2 linked regions of the Canis lupus familiaris genome follow. The protein of the gene in region 1 purifies or fractionates together with the protein of each later gene. This does not show direct contact. Links are inferred from orthologs where the notes say so. Each region holds a gene or a part of one and is shown on either strand. Other genes may lie near its edges.

Region 1 (6,110 bases):
CAAGAGCTTTATGAAGAGTCATGATACACTGGGGTGAACGGTGCCCCGGCTATAGGTCTCTAGGGTCACATGTGTGGAGCCTGGGGAACATGAATGCCCAGAGGAAGAGGGAACAGGGATACTCTCTGGCACAACCCATGGTGGGCACCTGTGGTACACATCCTGCGTGTACACCTAGGAGCAGACCCTCGAAGGTGAAGGATGCTGTGGGTCCAGGAGGCAGCAATGGCGGGCCAGGCCACGGTGGGTGCAGCTTCTGGGGCCTGGAGCCAGCAGAGGGGGCAGGAGCTCACTGCAGGGGGAGGGGAAGGAGGGGGGAGGAGAGACCCAGGCCTTGAGGCGCCCCCAGCTTCTGGCATCTCCCCCAGGCTGGAGCCTCAGTGCAGCCACTCCACCCCTGGGAGCTGATTACTCAGCCGTTCCAGAATTGGAACAGCACCCCAGGGACCTGAAGACAAAAGGGCAGGGGCTGCCAGACCTGCCATAGACAAGGGGTGTTTACAGGCCAGAGTCCCAGAGTCAGTCCTCCCATCCAACCTTGAGCAGGAGCTGCCTGGCTGGTGGGAAGCCCTGTGCCCTAGTGAGTTGCCTCCTCGCCCTCCCTTGGGGTCTGCAGTAAGGGGGTGCCCACCTGGAGCAGCATGCTGAGGCCCAGGTTGCGGTGCCTATGCTCCAGCTCCGACACAGCCTGCAGCAGGGACCCAAAGCGCTCAGCCGGGTCTGAGTCCTCATCCTCCAAGGACCCCTCGTCTTTATCCGCCTCCTGCAGAAAACGCGCCTCTTCCTCGGCAAAGAAGGCCCGCAGCTTCTTGTAGTCGGTGAGGGCTTTCTTCCGGCGGTCCATCACATGTCCCTGCAGGGCAGGAAGCAGACGGCAGGGACACCTGTGCCCCGGGATCCACCCTGGGGCCTCCCGCCCCACTGCTACCCACCCCGGGGAGGGGGGTTTGCTGCAGTGTGCAGCACCCAGCCGCACCCCCACCGATCCGGGTCAGGGCCCACACCCACATCCCCTCCTTGGGTGCGCCCCAGGCCTACGCCACTTGCCTTCCACACGGCCGCAGCAGACTCGGCCTGGCCATGCAGGTCCCGTGCATCGTTCAGGTCTTTTCTCATGATCTCCACCGACCCCTTGTTCTCCTAAAAAGACACGCGGGTCGCTGGTGGACACACAGTCAGAAGGCCCAGGGTCCCCCAGCCAGTCTGGGGACAGGCTCAGTGTGTGATCTTGACCTGTCAGACTCCACAGAAAGGGGCTGCAGGTACCAGAGGGGGGTCTCTGCAGGCCCATTAAGCTCTCTGCAGAAAGAAGCCTGACAAATGCACCTGCTAGGAATACAATCAGGCAACTGGATATGAGACTATCCCGTGGGCTCCCTAGCGTTCCTGTCACCTAGGGTCCCCAGACCCTACACCTGTGGGTTCCCCCAGCAGGAGCATAGCCCAGCTCCAATCCACCCCCAGGGTGCTCAGGGGAGCCCAGGCTGTCTTTAATGACATAATGTGACCCCCCTTTAGGGGGTGTCCCCAGGCCCCCAGCTACAGCCAGACTCTTCCACTGTGGGTTTCTACCTAGGGTCAGGTGCCCCATGCACTGGTCGACTGCAACAGCCAAGCTTTCAGGATGGAGTGGGGAAGCATCTGGGTGAAGGGAGGGGGCACCTGGACCACAGCAGCTGCCAGCCCACGCTTGCCGCCCGGTCCAGCCCGCGGGGGTGGGGCTGCTGCGGGGTGACATCACACGTGGAGGCGGGGCCAACAGATGAACGCCCACCTCGGACGGGGGTAGTGGTAGAACCCTCCGAAAATGGAACAGGGGCTGCGTGTGCGAGGTGGAGGAGGAGAATGGTCCAGGGACGGGAGCGTGCACAGAACGCCCTTCAGGGGTGCGGGATAAGGCGAGGGGGCGATGTCCGGGGATGGGCGAGGGGGAACAAAGCACGTCCTGGGGGAAGGGACCCTGGTTGGAGAGAGGACCCGGCACCTTCCGACCGGGCGGGGCGGGGCGGGGCTTGGACGGAGGATCGGACACCATTCTGAAGATTGAGAGGGGAGACAGGATACCGTCCCTCCGGGAGAGGGGCCTGGGTTCCGGATGGGGAGACAGGGAACCCTGGGGGCGGGTGGCAGGATGCCATCTGGAGACAGGGACCCAGGTTCGGAATGGGGGAAGGGAAGCCAGCGGAGGGTGGGGACTGGGAGGCAGGGCAGGGGACAGGGAGCAGAGCAGTCTGGGGCGCGGACCCGGGTTGGAGAGCGGGGACAGGACAACATCTAAGGGTGAGGGGTGAACGGCTGGGGAGGAGGGGCCGGGCGCCATCCGAGGATGCCGGGGGTCAGAGCACCGGGCGGGGGGCGGGGGGCGCGGGGCAGGGGCCGGGGTGGGGAGGGGGTGCGGGCCACCGTCTGAGGGCGGAGGAGAGGGAAACGGGGCCCCGTCCGGGGCCCTGTCCGGGGCGGCGGCCGGTCCCGCCCGCGCGCACCTTGCCGCGCAGCGCCTTCCTCCAGCGCGGCTCCCACTCGGGCGGCTCGGGCCCCGCGGCCATGCGGCAGGCGGCGCACAGCGGGCCCCCGTCGGCGCGGCACAGCAGCTGCAGGGCCGCCTCGGAGGCCGGGCCGTCGCGCGCGGGCGCCGCGGCCGCCTCCTCGAGCGCCAGCAGCCGGCGGCTGAGGGGCGGGCGGCCGGGCTCCACCGCGCGCTGCCAGCAGTCGTCGGCGCACTCGGGGCACGGGAAGGGCCCGTCCTCCTCGGCCCAAAAGCGCACCACGCACGCCCGGCAGAAGCGGTGGCCGCAGTCGGCGCGCACCGGCTCTCGGGGCGCGCGCTGGCACAGGGCGCAGGCGGCCTCGGCTGGGCCCGCGGGGAGCGCCAGGGCGGCGGCGGCGGGGGCCCTGCGGGCGGGCGCGGCCGGCGGAGAGGCGGCGGGCACGGACCGAGAAGGGCGCTGGGGAGCGCGGCCGCAGGGCACGGCGCGGCGCAGGCCGGGACGCGGACGGCGGCGGGGACGCGCGGGCGGTGACGGAGGGGCGCCGCACGCAGGGTCCTGGCAGCGGTGTGCCTGACGCTCGCGGAGCCCGGCCGGCCGCGCCTCCGCACGAGGTCCTGGCAGGGGTGCGCGCCGCGCTCCGGGGTCCTGGCAGCGGTGCTCCCGCCTCCCGCCTCCCGCCTCCCGCGGGTCGCTCTCCAGTCCGCGGGCCGGCCCGCCTGCCCGCCTTCTCACGGGCCGAAATCTTCCCAGGGTTATCGCTTAGCCCGGAAATGACACCTGGACGAGAGGGAAGCCGTTTTATTTTTATTTAAGACTTTATGTATTTATTCATGAGAGACACGGCGGGAGGGGGAGGGGAGAGCGAGAGAGAGAGGCAGAGGGAGAAGCAGGCTCCACGCAGGGAGCCCGACGTGGGACCCGATCGGCCGTGGGCCAAAGGCAGGCGCTAAACCGCTGAGCCAGCCGGGCTGCCCCTATTTTTTTTTACGAAGATTTCATTATAAAAGTGTTTTTGTAAGCTGCTAGGACCTGAGCTGCGAGCTCCCCGCCCACGCTGGGCTGGGGCTGGGGCTGGGGCTGGGGCTGGGGCTGGGGCTGGGCTGGGGCCGGGCTGAAAACGGCTGACGTGGGACCCCCGCGTGTGCACCGGTTCTGCACGCGCCGCCCCGCCTGGGCCCGCTCCCGGTGCATCCCCTCGACGCGTGGGCCCTCTCCCGGCGCATCCTCTCTGCATGCGGTTCCCCGAGTGTTCCCTCTCCTGCTGCATCCGCTCTGCACGCGCCTCCTCGCGTGAACCGCCCCGCACGGGACCGGTCCTGTCCCCGGGCATAACAGGCCTCCAGCCCACTGTCCCGCGCGTCCCTAGCGGAGGAATCCGGAGGCAGGGAATGAGTATGTCCCATGAGACCCAAAGCTCCAGGATCCCAGACATTTGTTAGCATTTCTTTAGGGGGAAAAATTTGGAGAGAGGAGCAATCTGGTTGGTTGTATTGTGCCCAAGGTTGCGAATCCGAGAAACCACCAAGGAGCCGACACCGATGCAAACACATGAGGGTTTATTAACAAGCTCGAGCTTGGGTCCAAGTACACCCGACACAGCGGAGCAGGGACTTGGACCCCGAGGTGGGCTCCAACTGGGTTTTTATGGGCTGGTCTAGGAGGAAGGTGGGATTTTTCAGTAATGGTGGGGGTGTGAGAGTCTCCAGTAAAGAGGTCTCACAAGCTCTTGCTTCCTTATTCTAATAAGGGCGCGATTTGTTGTTGTTGTTGTTGTTGTTTTTGTTTTTTTCTGTAGCCAGGGTAAGGTAGAGTTCAGTACCTGGTCACAGTAGCCTGGTCGCAGTGGTCTGAGACTGCTACCAAAGCTACAGTGTGCTTGTGCCAATGTTAAACTTGAATGGCCCTAATTTTCTCAGCCTCCACAGTTATTTTCAAAACAAGCAAGCATGCAGTTGAAATAAAAAATTACTGTAACTTAGCACTACATAATTTTTAAGTGTTAAAAAATTAGTTTGTTATTCCATACAGATGCAGATTGTGTTACATTGCTTCCAGTTTTGTGTTATTAAAATTTGGCATAGACCTGAGAATGCATGGAAAGTGTAACTAGCGAAGTAAGGTTAGTTCTGTTCCATAATGGTCAGAAGAAGGCTTCAAACCCAGCGCACCCAATTAGTTGGGTAAACTAAGAACCTAATGGAGATGAGATGCCTGGGTGGCTCAGCTGTTCAGCTTCTGCCTCCCGCTCAGAGCATTATCCCCATGTCCTGGGATGGAGTCCTGCATTGGGCTCCCTGCATGGAGCTTCTCCCTCTGCCTGTGTCTCTGCCTCTCTTTCTCTCTGTCTCTCATGAATAAATAAATAAAACCCTAAACAACAACAACAACAAAAAGAACCTAGTGAAGAGAACAGAGAGAGGAAGGAAGGAGTTCAACAAATTCCATGATATTCAGTGAGTAGAACAGTAAATAGGAACAGGAATGGTCAAAAGCCAAACTTGCAAAGTTTGAACTACAAACATACAAAAGTTCATAAAATTTGGTACAGAAAAAATATAATTGAGAAATAGCCCCCCCCCCCCATAGGATGTGTCAGTTCACAGAAAAAAACAATTACTGAATAGATTGTTGTGTATGGATAGAGGTTTCTGTGATCTGCTCAGCGGGACTGACCACCTGCACCTGCACATGCACAGGCAGGCTAAGATGTGGTTTGTGAGACTCAGGCTGTGTGCATGATCTTGAGAGACTGGTTATTTAAAATATGTCATCTGGCCTCCAGGTCGGCACCGGCCCTTCTGGTCTGGACACATAGAGCCTCAAATCTTGTCTTGCATCCTGTCCTGCTGCAGGCAGGGCTGGCCCTCCAGGATGGGTTCCAGGAGGGTAGGCAGACACACCTAGCCCAGGATCCTTGAAAATATAGTACATATTGCAGTGAAAATGCAGCTCGCTCTTCCTAGGGGAACAGATGCCTAGCTTCAGACCCCGACATTTGCCCTATAAACACAGCCCTTTGGAGACGGTCAGTTAGAAGTCTTACCTCAGGGGAGGACACGCCACCCAGGGCTCTCAGTGTGGACTCCAGCCTGGCTGTCTCCAGCGGGCTTCCTCAGCTAGTGAGGTTGGATGTTCTGGTACCTGACTTGATGTAGTTCTGTCTTATTCGCATTTGTTGCCTACTATCACCTTCGTCTATGTGTAGCTTCCTTTCCTCTTCTATTAGGTTTCTATATGTGCTGCCAAAGCGAGCAATCTTCTATTAGGTTTCTATATGTTTTCTTTCCTTTTTGAAACCAAATCACAGCTGTTATAAACCTTTTGTTCAGATCATAGATGTGGGGGAAAAATACACTCTGGCCAGGTTAAGAAATAGGAACATAAAATAAGATTTTTCTTCACCATTAAGTTAGCAGACACCCCCCCCAAAAAAAAAAAAAACCTGGATTTTGCAAATATTGCTTCTGGGAGACAAGGTAGCAATATGTAGTCAGGACCTTCAGAATTTTAATAACCTTTGCAATTTCTTTTTCCAAAATATGATCTATTAAAATAAACCCAAATGGAAATAAAACCTTTCCTGATTTGGCTTGGTTTGGTTTTGAGAAATGTTTGTCACAT
Region 2 (5,414 bases), on another chromosome or scaffold:
CAAACAAGCAAAGTGGCAAAATCCAAAGTACCACAGGACAGTTAGCTTTCACTTCAAAAAACAATCACAAAAAGTAGGAATTTTATCAAAAAGAGTAAAATAAAAATTTATAAAAACATTGTGAAAATAGTTTATCAGTTTAATAATGACTTACTGCTTAATGTCCTGTCTCGTGCTTGCTACGTAGAAGCAGGTGTGCCTTTGATAGTGGAACACGAATGAGGCTTTTTTAAGGAATCTGCAGGCACTCCCATTGTTTGGAAGATCTGCAGCTGCCTGTTCATCTAGAGCCTATGGTTTTATTCATTTTCAAGTCTATTTCTGATTGTATCCTCATGTTTTAATAGCAGCATAACTTCTTCAGAGCATTAGAAGTTACTGTTTTATGCTCCAGAACTGTCCATTCATTCATTCAATGTGCCCTTAAGAGACAGAGAAGAAATAATTACAATAATGCATAGTAAGTGCTAAGAACATGTTCCATATATGCCCAAGACTGTTAAACCATCACTTCTAATCAAATCCGAAGGTGGAGATGAGATCGTCATGGAGAGTCATCTGGGGAAAGGAATGGGGTCTTAATAGGGAAGAAAGAAAGGGGTTCTAGTCAAAAAGCACATATGGAAGGACATGGCATTGAGGTCCTGCTATAGCCTCACAGGGAGTGCAGGGCACTGCTCTACGGTACTTATCACTTTGCAGGAGGAGATGGGAGGATGGAGAGCAGATAGATGACCTAGGTCCCCAGAAGCCACTAGGAGAGTAGGTTGCTCATTAGCAGGAAGAGGAGTTACACAGACCCGTGGGACTGAATGATCCTGTGGGGAGGTGGGGATGGCAAGAGAACCAGAAAGCCAGACTCCATGATGTCTACAGTGTTCTCACTTCAATGGGAGAGAGGTGGGAATGGACTCGAAAGCGTGTGCCAGATGCTGGGTGGTGACCATGAGAGTGTGAGAAAACGGTGACCAAAGGACAAAAAAAAAAATTAGAGTGGTACAAAGGCCCATTCGAGGCCAAAGACCATTAATTTATAATAGTCTGAGTAGCTGTTTGATTTTTCTCTAGCATTTCTTAGCAGTCTCAGTATAGAAATGAAGTAAGCACGCTTTTAACATTCATTCAGGGCAGCAATTTGCTCTGTTGAGATGAAATTATGTGTGTATTTCAGGATGTGAAAGGGGCCTATTATGTGTATTTTACATGATTGGCTCAGAATTCAAGCTCATGGGGAAGGAGAAAAAGAACCAGGAATTGGCCCATGAAGGAAACAGAAATCAAAACCATAACCAGGGCACCTGGGTGGCTCAGGTCATGATCTTGGGGTCCTGGGATGGAGCCTGGTGTCCAGGCTCCCTGCGCAGAGAGTCTGCTTCTTCCTCTGCCTTTCCATTTTCCTCCTCATACTCAATCTCTCTCAAATAAATAAAATCCTATAAAAGAAACCCATGATGAGATACCACCTGTCAGAATGGCCCAAATCAACAACACAGGAAACAGCAGGGGTCAGCGAGAATTTGAAGAAAGAGGAACCTTCATGCACTGTTGGTGGGAATGCAAACTGGTGCAGCCACTCTGGAGAATAGTATGGAGGTTCCTCAGAAAGCTAAATATAAAAATACCCTATAATCTATCTTCCAATTCCACCTCTGGGTATTTCTCTGAAAACAACAACAACAACAACAAAAACCACTAATTCAAAAAGATACATGCACCCCTCTGTTCACTGCAGCATTTTGTACAATAACAAAGTTGTGGAGCAAACCTCAGTGTCCATTCAGCTGTCAATCACTTAACCAACTTAAGCGTCCATCAACAATTGAGTCGATAAAGATGTGTATATCTTGCCATTTGTGACAACATGGATGAACATATAGGGCATTATGCCCAGTGAGATAAGTCAGAGAAAGGCAAATACTATGTGATCTTACTTCATAAGTGGAATTGAAGGAAAAAAAACAACCAAATTTACAGAAAATGAACAGATTGGTGGTTGCCAGGGGGTCAAAAGGTTCATACTTTATACAGCATGGTGACTATAGTTAATGATTATAATTATTAGCTATAGTTAATAATACTGCATAATAAGTACATATTTAAAAGTTGTTAAGAGAATAAATGTTAAAAATCTTCATTCGAAGAAAAGACTTTTTGTAACTCTGTGTTGTGATGGATGGTAGCTAGACAGAGGATTGCTATGGTCATTTCACAGCGTGTACTAATACCAAATCCTTGCATTGTATACTTAAAACTGATGCAATGTTGTATGTCACTTAAACCACTATTTTATTTTTTTAATGGGAAAAAAAGAGAGCCAGTCGACTGGAATCGTAAGAGATGAAGTAGAGTCCCTGAGGCTGGAGGGCAGATGGAGTGGGATTGAGGTCATGCAGGAGCTGGGTGGGAGGAGAAAGCAGGGTGAGTGTGTGCAAGAGTTCTTGGGGGTGAAATCGCTACACCCATTCCAGAGTTGCCGGAGATGCAGGACCCTCAGGGGTAGATTGTTCCATAAGCTTGATGCACTGATAGTGATTGTGGTGCACACGGTTCAGGGAGGTGACACGCCGGTCTTCATCCCAGGCAGGCCTGCAGACTTAAGTCCCATGGTCTCAGCCAAGCAAGCGGGTGATTCGGATAGGTGGAGGTGAAGGTCCTTGAGATCCAGGTGGTCGAGGAGCTGCCATGTGACCTAGTAATTAATCTGTAAATAACAAGCTCTAACAGCATGTCTTACAACTTTTGTACTATTGAAATGGTAATGAGCATAAATGGTATTTTAAGATAATTTGCAACTACAGTAGGATATGAAAACGCTGTCCATGGATGCAAAGTAAGAGGATGACAAATACAAGTGTTGTCATCTGTGTTTGAAGAGAATGCTGAATTTCAGTTACAAGTTAGTAAAAATAAAAGTGAATTTTCTTCACCCAAATTCATAGACCCTCTGCATTCTGTCATGATCCTCCAGTTAAGAAACCCCAGTGTAAAGGACGGTGTATTCAGCAGGCCTAAAGCTGAGTGAAAAGCAGTGTTTTCTGCACGAGGCGGAATTGATGGTTTAGGAGTCGGGGTGCCTCAGGTGTGCCTTCCTGAACAGCCAGGCAGTGTCCTTAGCAATAAAAAGCCACATTTCTAGTCAAATCAGAAAAGCCAAGGGAGAAGGGAGCCTGTGCTCCCACAAACAAGAGGTTAATGGGAGTGTGAGAGGCACGGCAGGAGCTGTTGGGGTGCCTGGGTGGATGAGAAAGGTGAGCGAGGACAATGTCAGGATGGCCGGATGAGGTGATGTAGCTTCCAGGTCCTGGACACATTTGAGACTGAGGTCTGGGCCATTGGGACAGGCCCTTTAGAGCCATTTGGGTGGTAGTGACCCATGGTCTTTGCTGAGCAATCCAGGTAGAGTCCTGCTGAGGATACGTTGGATGGCTCTGAGCACAGCTGGGGATGGAGGAGTGTGAGGTCAGGTGCAGACACCGGACAGCCAGGGGCACTGGTGTGGTTATCGCTTATCACCTGGTGTGGTTTTTCCGACTTTGCCTTGACTCCTTGGTGCCGAACAAAAAATCAGCTGAGGGTTGGTGAGTAGAGAGAAACTATAAGAGGCATTCTTTTTTGAAAGACCACACTTCCCATCCTTTCCCATAGGACAGGTTTGGGAGGGTCTGCCAAAGTAAGAGAAATAACAAAATGAATTTAGGGAATCCTGTGTATCTGTTCAGGGGTTTGTAAGACAAGATAGACTTTGAATTTATGTGACTTAAGTGCAAAAGAACTTGGTGTTTCTGACCGGGTAACCTATTAGTTTTGACCAGAGTTTAACACCTGAACTCTGTACCTGGCACGGTCATGTGCATTTTATTTCTTTAAATTGAATGAAGAGTTTGTTAGCAGTAGACTGACCATGTTGCTGTTTGTTTTTTCTAGGAACTAGCTCTTCGTAGCCAGTTACCAACACTGGAGCAGGATGGCGGGACTCCCAATCCAGTGCCTTCCCCCGGGATGTCTCAGGAACTGAGGACGATGACGACCAGTGGCTCGGATCCCTTTCTCAACAGGTGGGTGAGAGCTGCTTGTGGCTTTCACGGGCGTCCCCTTGGGGCTGGTCCTGACCCCATGAGTAAGTAAGTACCCTTGGGGGCCAGGCACTGCACTGTGAATGACCCTCACCCATGACAAACCCTGTGAAGCTCCAGCATTCGAAGCTGGCTCCTGTGGGAGGACCTGGGCCATGGGGACTTATGGGGGACTTGTTCCCAGTCATGTGTTTGCTTCTGCCTGCGCTGTGAAGCAGCGCAGTGATGTAATGTGGCAGAGTCGTGAAGGAAGGCATGCAAGGGGGTCGTCCTCTGGAGCAGCCCCAGTGATGTGGGACCTGGTCTTCCTGCAGCAGCTCCTGAAGGCCACATGTTTTTAAGGACTGTAGCTTAAGGACGTGAAATGTACGGTGGTGCCTCCTGTAGACACACTGCACAACAGGCAGGGGCTTGCAGGTACTCTTCAGTGGCCTCATGGAGCTGTGGTGAAAGCTGCTCACCCACAGGTCCTACTCCTAGGTTTGATGACCATTCATCCGTTTAGGTTGTAAAATGTTCATGGAGTTTCAGTTTGTTAACATATGGAACAAATACTTTCTTGTCTGTACTTTTTGGTTTTCGGATTTTTTTTAACTAGTTTTAAACAATGCACCTTTAAAAACATTTAAAGGTCCTTTGGTTTAGGAAAGCTGTTCTCTTACGCTTTCAGTTCTCAGAAGATGAATTGCAAACTTCATGATCTTAGAAAAACAAAATTTTGGGACACCTGGGTGGCTCAGCAGTTAAGCACCTGCCTTCGGCCCAGGGCGTGATCCTGGAGTCCCAGGATCGAGTCCCACGTCAGCCTCCCTACATGGAGCCTGCTTCTCTCTCTATGTCTGTGCCTCTCTCTCTCTCTCTTTCTCTCTCTCTCTCTCATGAATAAATAAATAAAATCTTAAACAAAAAAAAAGAAATTTCTTTTATCCTACCAAGACATGCAGTCCAGTCCAGTAGAATTTCCATTTGCTCAGTCTTAGACTTGGGGTTGGGGGCCTGGTTTTTTAGGTTTGATCTTGAAGACTGTCTAAGATGTGTTCGGAGTTTGTGGTTCTGCCAAACCTGAGTGTATGTACACGAGGCTCTGAACATAGACAACAGTGAATCAGGAAAGGTCAGAGCCACATGACTTTTCCCCCCCACAAGGAAGCTTTCAGCTTGGTGTGATTGCAATGTCCATCTTGTTGGGCCTCGTGTGGCCCGAGGGTAGAGGCAGACTATAGAACGTGGATATAGGCTGGGCATCCTTTGTGCAAATTCTTCCTGAGAATGTCTCATGAACACTAGGCTGTAGTTTGAGATTCTGTCTCTTGGTAAAGGTCACTGGGTGTCAGGTGATCG

What was found. Proteins that work in one complex are often made in the same cells at the same time.
Region 2: the proteins of RNF187 (region 1) and YAP1 purify together in Homo sapiens (affinity purification with western blotting; 3 studies listed by BioGRID, with this or other methods). This does not show direct contact. The link is inferred for Canis lupus familiaris from reciprocal best matches to the Homo sapiens genes RNF187 and YAP1.

The regions. Positions count from the first base shown.
Region 1 is NC_049235.1:239,488-245,597, forward strand, and holds the start of RNF187 (E3 ubiquitin-protein ligase RNF187), read right to left. Parts: upstream 3,681-6,110; coding exon 3,637-3,680; intron 3,214-3,636; coding exon 2,484-3,213; intron 1,141-2,483; coding exon 1,048-1,140; intron 854-1,047; coding exon 632-853; intron 293-631; coding exon 290-292; 3' UTR 1-289.
Region 2 is NC_049226.1:29,540,335-29,545,748, reverse strand, and holds part of YAP1 (transcriptional coactivator YAP1), read left to right. Parts: intron 1-3,924; coding exon 3,925-4,055; intron 4,056-5,414. UniProt on the Homo sapiens protein: Transcriptional regulator with dual roles as a coactivator and corepressor. Critical downstream regulatory target in the Hippo signaling pathway, crucial for organ size control and tumor suppression by restricting proliferation and promoting apoptosis.